Linked DNA regions of Xenopus tropicalis. The protein of the gene in region 1 binds, or shares a complex with, the protein of each later gene. Links are inferred from orthologs where the notes say so. Each region holds a gene or a part of one and is shown in the gene's direction. Other genes may lie near its edges. The genes, in order: brd8, mbtd1 and anp32e.

The links.
Region 2: brd8 (region 1) and mbtd1 share a complex: the UniProt entries of both Homo sapiens proteins name them as parts of the nuA4 histone acetyltransferase complex. The link is inferred for Xenopus tropicalis from reciprocal best matches to the Homo sapiens genes BRD8 and MBTD1.
Region 3: brd8 (region 1) and anp32e share a complex: the UniProt entries of both Homo sapiens proteins name them as parts of the SWR1-like complex. The link is inferred for Xenopus tropicalis from reciprocal best matches to the Homo sapiens genes BRD8 and ANP32E.

Annotation. Positions count from the first base shown.
Region 1 is NC_030679.2:47,824,533-47,828,186, reverse strand, and holds part of brd8 (bromodomain-containing protein 8), read left to right. Parts: intron 1-3,376; coding exon 3,377-3,624; intron 3,625-3,654. UniProt on the Homo sapiens protein: May act as a coactivator during transcriptional activation by hormone-activated nuclear receptors (NR). Isoform 2 stimulates transcriptional activation by AR/DHTR, ESR1/NR3A1, RXRA/NR2B1 and THRB/ERBA2.
Region 2 is NC_030686.2:23,303,410-23,307,063, reverse strand, and holds part of mbtd1 (MBT domain-containing protein 1), read left to right. Parts: coding exon 1-13; intron 14-742; coding exon 743-825; intron 826-1,625; coding exon 1,626-1,860; intron 1,861-3,654. UniProt on the Homo sapiens protein: Chromatin reader component of the NuA4 histone acetyltransferase complex, a multiprotein complex involved in transcriptional activation of select genes principally by acetylation of nucleosomal histones H4 and H2A.
Region 3 is NC_030684.2:129,186,581-129,190,701, reverse strand, and holds the start of anp32e (acidic leucine-rich nuclear phosphoprotein 32 family member E), read left to right. Parts: upstream 1-1,307; 5' UTR 1,308-1,474; coding exon 1,475-1,528; intron 1,529-4,121. UniProt on the Homo sapiens protein: Histone chaperone that specifically mediates the genome-wide removal of histone H2A.Z/H2AZ1 from the nucleosome: removes H2A.Z/H2AZ1 from its normal sites of deposition, especially from enhancer and insulator regions.

The DNA of each region.
Region 1 (3,654 bases):
CACCAAATAACGCTCTTTCCCATTGCATCTCTCACAATATATACATTTTTACAAATTGATCATTTGTAACCCTTTCCTGCCCTATCTATAGTAAAGACTCTTGCACACAGGTGTTTTGCTTGTATGTGCCCGAATGAGTACAGCCGCATAGCTGGCTATTAAAGGAAAACTATATGAAAACTAAATATGAAAACTAAATGAATACTTTACCAACAGATTTATCCTTTATTCAGTATTTGCTCAGACAGACCCACCATATTGAACTGGGCATAGGCTAAGGGATAGATACTGGAAGGGGCGGTATTTAAAGAAATGAATACTTAACCAGTAGATAGTTTATTGGAACATATATATATATATATATATATATATATATATATATATATATATATATATATATATATATATATATATATATATATATATATATATATATATATATATATATATATATATATATATATATATATATACAGTGGAGGAAATAATTATTTGACCCCTCACTGATTTTGTAAGTTTGTCCAATGACAAAGAAATGAAAAGTCTCAGAACAGTATCATTTCAATGGTAGGTTTATTTTAACAGTGGCAGATAGCACATCAAAAGGAAAATCGAAAAAATAACTTTAAATAAAAGATAGCAACTGATTTGCATTTCATTGAGTGAAATAAGTTTTTGAACCCCTACCAACCATTAAGAGTTCTGGCTCCCACAGAGTGGTTAGACACTTCTACTCAATTAGTCAACCTCATTAAGGACACCTGTCTTAACTAGTCACCTGTATAAAAGACACCTGTCCACAGAATCAATCAATCAAGCAGACTCCAAACTCACCAACATGGGAAAGACCAAAGAGCTGTCCAAGGATGTCAGAGACAAAATTGTAGACCTGCACAAGGCTGGAATGGGCTACAAAACCATTAGCAAGAAGCTGGGAGAGAAGGTGACAACTGTTGGTGCGACTGTTCGAAAACGGAAGGAGCACAAAATGACCATCAATCGACCTCGCTCTGGGGCTCCACGCAAGATCTCACCTCGTGGGGTGTCAATGATTCTGAGAAAGGTGAAAAAGCATCCTAGAACTACACGGGAGGAGTTAGTTAATGACCTCAAATTAGCAGGGACCACAGTCACCAAGAAAACCATTGGAAACACATTACACCGCAATGGATTAAAATCCTGCAGGGCTCGCAAGGTCCCCCTGCTCAAGAAGGCACATGTGCAGGCCCGTCTGAAGTTTGCCAATGAACACCTGAATGATTCTGTGAGTGACTGGGAGAAGGTGCTGTGGTCTGATGAGACCAAAATAGAGCTCTTTGGCATTAACTCAACTCGCTGTGTTTGGAGGAAGAAAAATGCTGCCTATGACCCCCAAAACACCGTCCCCACCATCAAGCATGGGGGTGGAAACATTTTGCTTTGGGGGTGTTTTTCTGCTAAGGGCACAGGACAACTTATTCGCATTAACGGGAAAATGGACGGAGCCATGTATCGTGAAATCCTGAACGACAACCTCCTTCCCTCTGCCAGGAAACTGAAAATGGGTCGTGGATGGGTGTTCCAGCACGACAATGACCCAAAACATACAGCAAAGGCAACAAAGGAGTGGCTCAAGAAGAAGCACATTAAGGTCATGGAGTGGCCTAGTCAGTCTCCGGACCTTAATCCAATAGAAAACCTATGGAGGGAGCTCAAGCTCAGAGTTGCACAGAGACAGCCTCGAAACCTTAGGGATTTAGAGATGATCTGCAAAGAGGAGTGGACCAACATTCCTCCTAAAATGTGCGCAAACTTGGTCATCAATTACAAGAAACGTTTGACCTCTGTGCTTGCAAACAAGGGTTTTTCCACTAAGTATTAAGTCTTTTTTTGTTAGAGGGTTCAAAAACTTATTTCACTCAATGAAATGCAAATCAGTTGCTATCTTTTATTTAAAGTTATTTTTTCGATTTTCCTTTTGATGTGCTATCTGCCACTGTTAAAATAAACCTACAATTGAAATGATACTGTTCTGAGACTTTTCATTTCTTTGTCATTGGACAAACTTACAAAATCAGTGAGGGGTCAAATAATTATTTCCTCCACTGTATATATATATATATAAATATCAAAACAAAGCAGCCAGCACCAAGGGTCTTTGTGTTTCAAAAAGTCTCTTGTGTGTTATAATTGCATGTACAACCAACGTTTCGGTCCCTTTTGGGACCTTTTTGAATATATATGTATATATATGTATGTATATGTGTGTGTAAATATTGTCCTTTTACATCCTTTACCTTAAGACACCATTTTGTGATGGGCTGTGTGCTCCCTCAGAGATCACATGACAAGAAATAATGCAGCTCTAACTGTAACAGGAAGTAATGTGAAAGCAAAAGGCAGAACTCTGTCCATTCCATTGGCTGATGGGGCCTAGCATGTATATGTGCCTTGGCTTGTTTGTGTGCACTGTTGAATCCTATGATCCCAGGGGGCGGCCCTTAATTCTTAAATGGCAATTTTCTATTTAGGATTACCCAATAGCACATACTATTTAAAAAGTATATTTTTATGAAAATGGTTTATTTAGATGACCCAGGGTTTTACATATGAGCTTGTTTATGCAATATATTTTTATAGAGACCTACATTGTTTGGGGTATAGTTTTCCTTTAAGCCCTGTAAGACCAATGCCTTAATGTGCTATGGTATAACTTTGTAACTAAAAAAACCTCTGTTTTTGAAAGTATCTGCACTTGCACAGTTACAGTTGCTACTGAAAGAGGGAACCAGGGAATGTTCATTGATCTAATTAACATTAACTTGTTTTAATAATTAGTTGCCATGTTTATGACAGAGGTTTTTTACACAGTAGACTTTTTAAATAAAATTTTTCGACTTCCCATTGAATCGTGGCATTTTAGTAGGTCAGAGCTATGTGATATCATTTTTAAATTTTGTTTGATATAATGTTTAAAAAAAATTAACTCAAAAAGTTCAAAGCTTTTAATGAATTTGCAGATGTGGCTGCCTGCAGTCATTAATAAATCAGCCCCTGAGATAAATATGTTGGTGAGCCCTTTTCTATAGGAGTTTGTTTTTCCTGTGTTCATATATTCATTACAGTATGTGTGTATAAACTGTTGCACGATTGATCCTTATTATAAAATGTTATCAAGGACCAGCACTCTTTTCCAAGTGGTTTACACAATTTATTTACAATACATGTGATGGTTCATGCCACATTATCCTTGATAAAGGCCCTAATGGGGCCGCATTTGATATATCAAGTCTTTCAAGCTCTAGAAAAGTGAAACTAGTGATTTTGAAAGTGCTGCATTCAGAGAACATATTTATTATTAATTGACCAATTCACCCTTTTTTTTTTTTTTACATAGTGACTCAGCAAGACAGCAATGACTCTGCTTCAGATCCTCACTCCATCTCAGTATCTATGGACAGCAGTGACATCTCCATGATAATAGACTCAATCAACAAAGAGTGCTTGGCAAGTAGCGATGGGGTTAGACAGTCCAAAGATGAGACCTCAGAAGGCAAGGCAGATCTGGACCTTTCTGAGAAAATGGACATGGAAGAACTTGACTTTGAAACTGTTGGTGACATAATTGCCATTATTGAAGACAAGGTATGAATATGGCATAATGTCTGATACTAA
Region 2 (3,654 bases), on another chromosome or scaffold:
ACTCCACCAAGAGGTAAGTGTTTGTGTGTTTGACTTCTGGTGTGATTCTCACAAATAGATAACAGTATAAGAAGAAAATTATTCTTGTATAAAAATTACTTGATAGGTTGCTTAAGAAGCACATGCTTTTCTTATAGAGGAAAGCATCCTAATTTCCTGGGTTTTTTTTCTTTTTTTCTTTTAAAAAAAAAAAAAGTGAGTGGGGCTTGTGATGAAAATACACTTTGCCTATTGTTTTAAGAGAAGTTGTAGCTATTCCGGACTTGGTTTTTGCAGAGTATACAATTAGATTAGCAGTGCACTTAAAAGACCCTACATCAATGCTGTTCAGCTTCAGTTTCCTAGTTTACCCTGTTAGCTCAAAAAACATGGATTTTTCAGAATTTAAAAAAAAAAAAAAAAAAAAAAAAAAAAGGCAAGTATGTGTTGCATGTTTTAGAATGCAACTTAGTTGTTGGAACTGATTAAATAAGTGTGGATACAATGCAACTGAGATACTCAAATGTGTTTTGGGCATGAAAAGATGGGATCTTCACTTTTAGCCAGTTTTATGCAAAGGATAATAAAACTATATTTGTATTTGTTATTTGATTTATAAATATTTATTTATAACAGGACTATGGCCTATGCAGGTGGAAACATTTTTTAATACAGTGCAAAGGGCAACGTCTGGGTTTCTGCCTCAACATTTGGAAATGTCAATGTACATGATACATGTACTGATAAATATTTTGTTTTGCAGGCTACACAAAACTACCTTTTAAATGGTTTGACTACCTCAGGGAAACTGGATCTATAGCAGCTCCTGTAAAACTCTTTAACAAGGTAATACTTTATTTACCAATAGCCCGACATATGCCAAAACTCAATCAACCATGAGCACAAAAGTACATACTAACAATGGGTGGTAACAGACCTGTCCAGGTAACACTTTCCTTTAAATCTTTGCTGACATCTCTGTTTGGTAGTGGTTCTTATAAAGACAGTATAAAGGATGACTGCCAAGGAGTTACTGCCATAACCACCACCTTCCTATTTAAACTGGAGTTGTAGCTAAAACTTATTAAGGATTCATCTTAAAAATCAACTAACTAATTGTTCCTGTACAGAGGAATATTGGATTTAATGCCTCCCTGAACGTTTCAGTCATTACATAGTGTTAATAGGGGGCTTGATAAATGGGCGCATAAGGATTGAAACATTGCTGTAATGCCATGAAAGTGTGCAATAAAGGCATTTTATTTTAAAAGAATAAGAGCAATGCTGTTCCAGACTGTATCCAGGTTCGTGTTAAAGGGGGGGGGGCAGACCTCTGGTAAAAGAATTACACACAAATGCCAACATGTGCATCAAAAGTGAGACAACCCCCTCTCTTAAACTTGCAACTGATTCATTCAAGTTGCCTCAGTTTTGACACTCCATGAGCAATAATGTTGTTGCCACAATTACAATGAAATGAAATTATATTAATTGCAAAAAAAATAAAACTTAAAAATGCCAGCTCCACATTAAAATAGATAGATAATTGGGATGCATTAAAAATAGATCATTGGGATGCATGCTGCAGATGGCTCTGGTTTCTGTATTTAATGTGCCCTGGTTTTTACTTGTATTTCAACTTCCAGGAAGTTCCTAATCATGGGTTTCGTGTTGGTATGAAACTTGAGGCTGTAGACCTTATGGAACCTCGGCTTGTGTGTGTTGCTACAGTGACACGTATTATTCATCGCCTGCTGAGGATACATTTTGATGGCTGGGAAGATGAGTATGATCAGTGGGTAGACTGTGAATCTTCAGACCTCTATCCTGTTGGTTGGTGCCAACTAACTGGATACCAGTTACAGCCTCCAGCACCACAATGTAAGTCAAACCGGCTACAAATAACCTAGTTTATTTATCAGTAGTGTTAATTTTCTGCTAATTTAAAAAAATATAATTTAGGCAGAAAAAAGGACACATGTCCAAGTTCAGCATTTTTGTCTAAAAAAAACCTGTCTGATTGCTGGTTGTAGAGGAATGTGAAACCACCACCTGAAGCCTCTCCAGTTGGAATCAGGAGGGATTTTTCCCCTATCTGAGGCCAAGATGGCAATCAGACCAGTCCCTGGATCAATTTTTTTCTAAGAGCTAATATCAGTAGCCCTGTATTTTCACACTTGCTATAAAGACATCCAAATTCTTAAAGTGTAAGTCTTGAAGCTAACTAATGGATCTGCCAATGTAACTTTTTCTGGGAGAAAATTCCACAACTTTAAACCTCTCACTGTAGCTATGTCACTGAATTAAATAGTTTGGCAAAATCCAAATAGATTACATATACTGCAACCACACTATTCTACTTCTTACTCTGACTTGACCTGTCCTTTATATAACAATGGTGATTACCACTCATAAAGCCATTCTCCAGACATAATCGTATTTTCTCCACCGTCTGCTTGGGGGACACAGGAACAGAGGGGTACCACTGGTACCACTAGGAGGCAGGACACAACAACTAATAACGTTTTGGCTCCTCCTCTACTGGCTATACCCCCAGCAGGTGGAGCCTGGATCAGTTTTTGTTGTGTCCTCAGGAGGTTAGGACGTTTTATTATTTTCAGAATCTTTCAACATTAACAAGTCTGTTATTCTGACTTAGGGGGTAGTCAAGACCCCTACACTGAGTAGGAGGTCTCCCTCTGACACCCTCCAACGTGGCATTGCATTAAGTCTCCGCTGAGGAACTCTTCCACCATTACGCCCCGCATCGCATGGTGATGCGGAGCGCACTATTCGGGACACCGCCATTTTAAATTTGGGCGCTTCCTTTTCGCGCTCTTACCAGTTCGCGCCCCCTCCATTCAGCCGCAACCCGGAAGTGCGGTCCCTCTCGCACCACTTCTGACAAGCGCGTCTTACCTCCGGAACGCTTCTCCAGATATCTGGCCCTTCGGTTAGATCGCTGTCGGGCTGCCTCACAACAGCTCCTGCCCTGCAGAGGTTCTACTCTGTGTCCCCCGCACAGCTCCCACAGCCGTCGCAGAGGCACCCTGGTCACCTAAACAGTGGGGTTAGCTGCTGCCACTACAGCAGGCACTCTCCTGGGGGCCTCCCCCTCTCCCCATCGCTCCAACCTCCTGCTCCTCCATCGCAGGTCAGTTGTGTAGCGCAGTCTGCATACATTCACCAAAAAAAAAAGGGGGGGGGGGTTTCTCATAGCACTGCGTGTGTTCACTCCGCAGCTCCTCATCATGTCTTTAGCGCAGATAAAATTTTTTAGCCTTTGCCAAATGTCGCAAACCTCTACCTGTGGGTCACAAAGACACTATATGTGCCTCTTGCAAGCCGCGGAAGCAAGATCCGGAACTCTCACGACCTGCTCCCCCTCCAGTGAACCAACCATGTCAGGAAGAATCCTCTACACCTGCGGAACCGCTTCAGACAGAAGCACAAACCATCCCTGCATGGGCCTCTCAACTTGCTACAGGCATCCCCTTACTGGCTTTCTCACTGGACAAACTCCTCACACGGCTGGACAATCCCAGGGTTAAGCCCTCCAAACGCAGAGCTCCATCACCCTCGGACGAGGATAGTGAGGACTACGCCATAGCCCCCTCACCCATACTCCCGGAACACAGTCTTTCGGAGGGAGAATTGTCTGACTCTTCCGACCAG
Region 3 (4,121 bases), on another chromosome or scaffold:
TATCGGTCCCTTGGACCGACTCGGCAGCTTATCGGCCCGTGTAGGGGCAGAAACGATCGGACTGGCCGACCGATATCTGGCCTGAAATTGGCCAGATATCGGTCGGCCAGGTTAGAAAATCCCGTCGGATCGGGGACCGCATCGGCTCGTTGATGCGGTCCCAGAACCGACTGCCCCATTGCCGCGTGCAGAATTCGATCGTTTGGCCCCAGGCCGCGTGCAGAATTCGATCGTTTGGCCCCACCCGTAGGTGGGGATATCGGATGAAGCCAAGCAAGCGGATCTGCCTGTGTGTGGCCACCTTTAGGGACACATATCCTGCCCCTTTTTTAACTTTTTTTTCTCCTGATGAAGACCCTTTATTGGGTTGAAACGCGTTGGGCTGTATTTTCTGTTTTGTATTTAATAAAAGATTTGTTTCTTTTGTACTTTCTGAGTGTGCAGACACTTTTTTGCTTAAGGGACCCATATCGGCAGCTACTATAGGCCCGTGTATGGCCAAATCGGATTGGTTAGCAACCTCACCAACCAAGTCTTTATGTATTTGCTCAATTTAACACCATAACTAGGACCCTGGGAGTACTAGTTGGACAAGGCTGTATAATAACAGACACCCAGCTTCAAAATATATATTTCTTTACATGGCTTATTTCCAAAGCTTATACAGGGCTCTAAAATAATTTTTGGACCCACTAATACGTCTTCATATCTATATAAGACTTAATATGCCGACATATGTACCCAATATGGCCACAGACGGGCCCAGGACAAACGATCAAATAACCTAAAAGGCTCCTTTGCCTTCCCTCTAGCCATTTTGGCGGTAACAAATGACTACAATTAGTTCGTGTTTCTCTTTATCGTACATTTAAGGTATCCTTGCGCGTATTCCAGCCTACTCTACCATTACATTGATTTATCGCAAGCGAAGTAGCCCCTACATTAGCAGATATCCCACCTCACACAACGCTTCCCTGACCTAAAATAGGGCGCGAAAGCACTGAATACACAAAGACACGACGCCTGGGTCAAACGACATTAAAAGATTAAAAAAAAAAAAAAAAATTAAAAAAAACCAACGCATCCCCCCCGAGATGGACAAAAGCAGCAGCCAATCCGAATTTACTGCGCTCATACTTCCAGCCAATGGTGCGGCGTTCTATTTGGAAGAACCTGACTGACATAATTGACCACCAATAATAGCCACGATCCCTGAGCGGACAGCCAATCGTTGCGTGGGAGGGGCGTCAACTTAGCGAAGGGGATGCCTGTGCTGTGTAATGGAGTCTCAGTTAGTGAGCGGCCATTGAGAGAGTAGGAAGCCCTGTGGAGAGGGGAGTCAAACAGCCCGCGTCGGACACTTCTGTTTTGGTTTTAGCCTTCGCTTTATTTTTCTCTTGATTTTTGGTTGTTTTCCCGCCGTTCTGGTGAAAGTTTCTTTGTGCGTGAGGCGTCAAGACATTGGCCCGGGAAAATGGAGATGAAGAAGCGCATCAGCTTGGAGTTGAGGAACAGGAATCCTTCCGAGGTGGGATTCTTTGGGGCTTATGGGTTGTACCACCGTGCATGGGCAGGAGGGGGGGAACTCGTATGGGTATATATATGTCTTTATAGTGGGGGGGATCTCCTTTCGCTCCGTAGCCCGCCGGGCTCGTCTCTTTTCTGTCCCGCACTCGCAAAGTTTGGATGAGAAGGTGATGGAGGGAGGGGAGAGAGAGGGACCGGCCCCACCTCATGGCAGGAGAGGGCCCAGTGCCCCTGAGGAGTAGGAGGGGGGCGCTCACTGCTTTACTAGCGCCACATTTATAACCTGCACACTGTAGGTGCATGAACTACAACTCCCAGCAGCCTCTGGTGCTTGTAACGCTAAGGAAACTACTATTCCCTTCAGCTACAGGTGGCTGCCATTATAGTTCGTCTGCAGCCAGCACCAGCAGAGCATTCTGGGAGTTGTAGTTCAGCAACTGAAGGTCTGGGGGGGGCTTGGCTCCCCAGTTACTTTCCTACAACTCCCAGTATGCTTTAACCCTTGCTTGTACGTTGAGGATTGCTGGGAGTTGTAGTTCAACAACTGACAGTCTGTGGGGGGCTTTTAGCCTTGGGCTCCCCAGTTGTTACTTTCCTACAACTCCCAGTATGCTTTAACCCTTGCTTGTACGTTGATTGGTGGGAGTTGTAGTTCAACAACTGATGGTCTGTGGGGGGGCTTGGCTCCCCAGTTGTTACTTTCCTACAACTCCCAGTATGCTTTAACCCTTGCTTGTACGTTGAGGATTGCTGGGAGTTGTAGTTCAACAACTGAAGGTCTGGGGGGGTTTAGCCTTGGGCTCCCCAGTTGTTACTTTCCTACAACTCCCAGTATGCTTTAACCCTTGTACGTTGGGGATTGCTGGGAGTTGTAGTTAAGCATCATTTGAGCAATATGTGCCCTGATTGGACCTTAGTATGAGCCAGGGAGCGGTTCTGTTGCTTGATGTCAGTGTGGTTTAACAACTGACGGTCTATGTGGGGCTTTCTTATTCTTGGCTCCCCACTTGTTACTTTCCTACAACTCCCAGCATGCTTTAACCCTTGTACGTTGGGGATTGCTGGGAGTTGTAGTTAAGCATCATTTGAGCAATATGTGCCCTGATTGGACCTTAGTATGAGCCAGGGAGCGGTTCTGTTGCTTGATGTCAGTGTGGTTGCTGTAGTTCTGCTTGCCCTATAGGATAGTGCAGTGGGGTGTATGTGCCACCCAACCATGTGCTCCGGCCATGTGTAACAATAATACCGGCCATTCCTGCCACTTTCCTCTCTAGATTCCGACGCTCAGTCACTTGGGGATTGTAATTGCTGCCGAAAGCGGCGTCTCCGTCCCGCTGCATTGTTTTCTCTGCCTTTCTGAAATAATGTAGCAGAAGCCAGCTGATGGGCAGACCTGAAGGGGAAGGGACTCCGGCTACATTGTTTCATGAGTCAGACACCGAGACCAGAAAGGAATTAAAGAAACGCTGCTTTTAACTGCAAATAAATGTAACTTTAGGGTGAAGACACATGGAGCTACTAGTAGCAGCTACTTGTTGTGGCTACTAACATAGACAATGCTGATCATTTACTGCTAACTGTCTCTACATGTGTTTTAGCAGAGGCAATTCTCAGTATTGTCTATGGCAGGGGATTTTCTGGAGTTTAGTAGCCATGAAAAAGTAGCTGCTACTAGTAGCTCGGTGTTTCTTCACCCTTATAGGAAGTGAACTTTTTTCATTAATTTAAAAGTTAGTTAACTTCTGTAGATAAACCCACATTAAACGTAGTGCCTGCTCTCTGAGGGTGAAGACACACTGAGCTACTAGTAGCAGCTGCTTTTTCTAACTCTAGAAAATACACTGCCATAGACAATACTGGGAATTGCCTCTGCTAAAACACATGTGGAGACATTTATCAATAAATGATCAGCATTGTCTATTTTAGTAGCTGTGACAAGTAGCTGCTACTAGTATCTGTGTGTCTTCACCCTAACAAAGTTGTCATTTGTCTCCTTCCCAATGATAGCCCTGCAATAAGTAGGATTGTGATAAATCTGTCCTGTTTTTGGATCTTAATTCATAAGGTTGAGAAGCAGTAGCCTAGAATGCCAGGGTTTGTGAGTCGGTGCCAGAGCAGCACAGGTAAGGATCTGTGGGTGGGTACAGTTACCCCAGGAGGGCCTTGTTGTGGTTGCTGTGTAGGAGGGTTCATGGCGGGAGTTTAGATGGTGCTTGCTGTTATTTAAGGTCCCATATCATCAGGGCCAAATTCTGGGGCCTGTGAAAAAAACTTTAGATTCCTCCTGAGGGTGAAGACACATGGAGCTACTAGTAGCAGCTACTTGTCATGGCTACAAAATAGACAATGCTGATCATTTACTGATAGTTGTGTCTACATGTGTTTTTAGCAGAGGAAATTATCAGTATTGTCTATGGCAGGGGATTTCCTGGCGTTTAATAGCCGTGACAAGCAGCTGCTACTAAATAGCTCTGTGTGTCTTGGCCCTTAATGTATCCTGCTCACACAGTTCAGCAAACTTTAGCTACAGCAGATTCATTTGGCATAAACTCCAGTGTACTTCAGGTGGATGCACTTTAATTAATGGCACACCT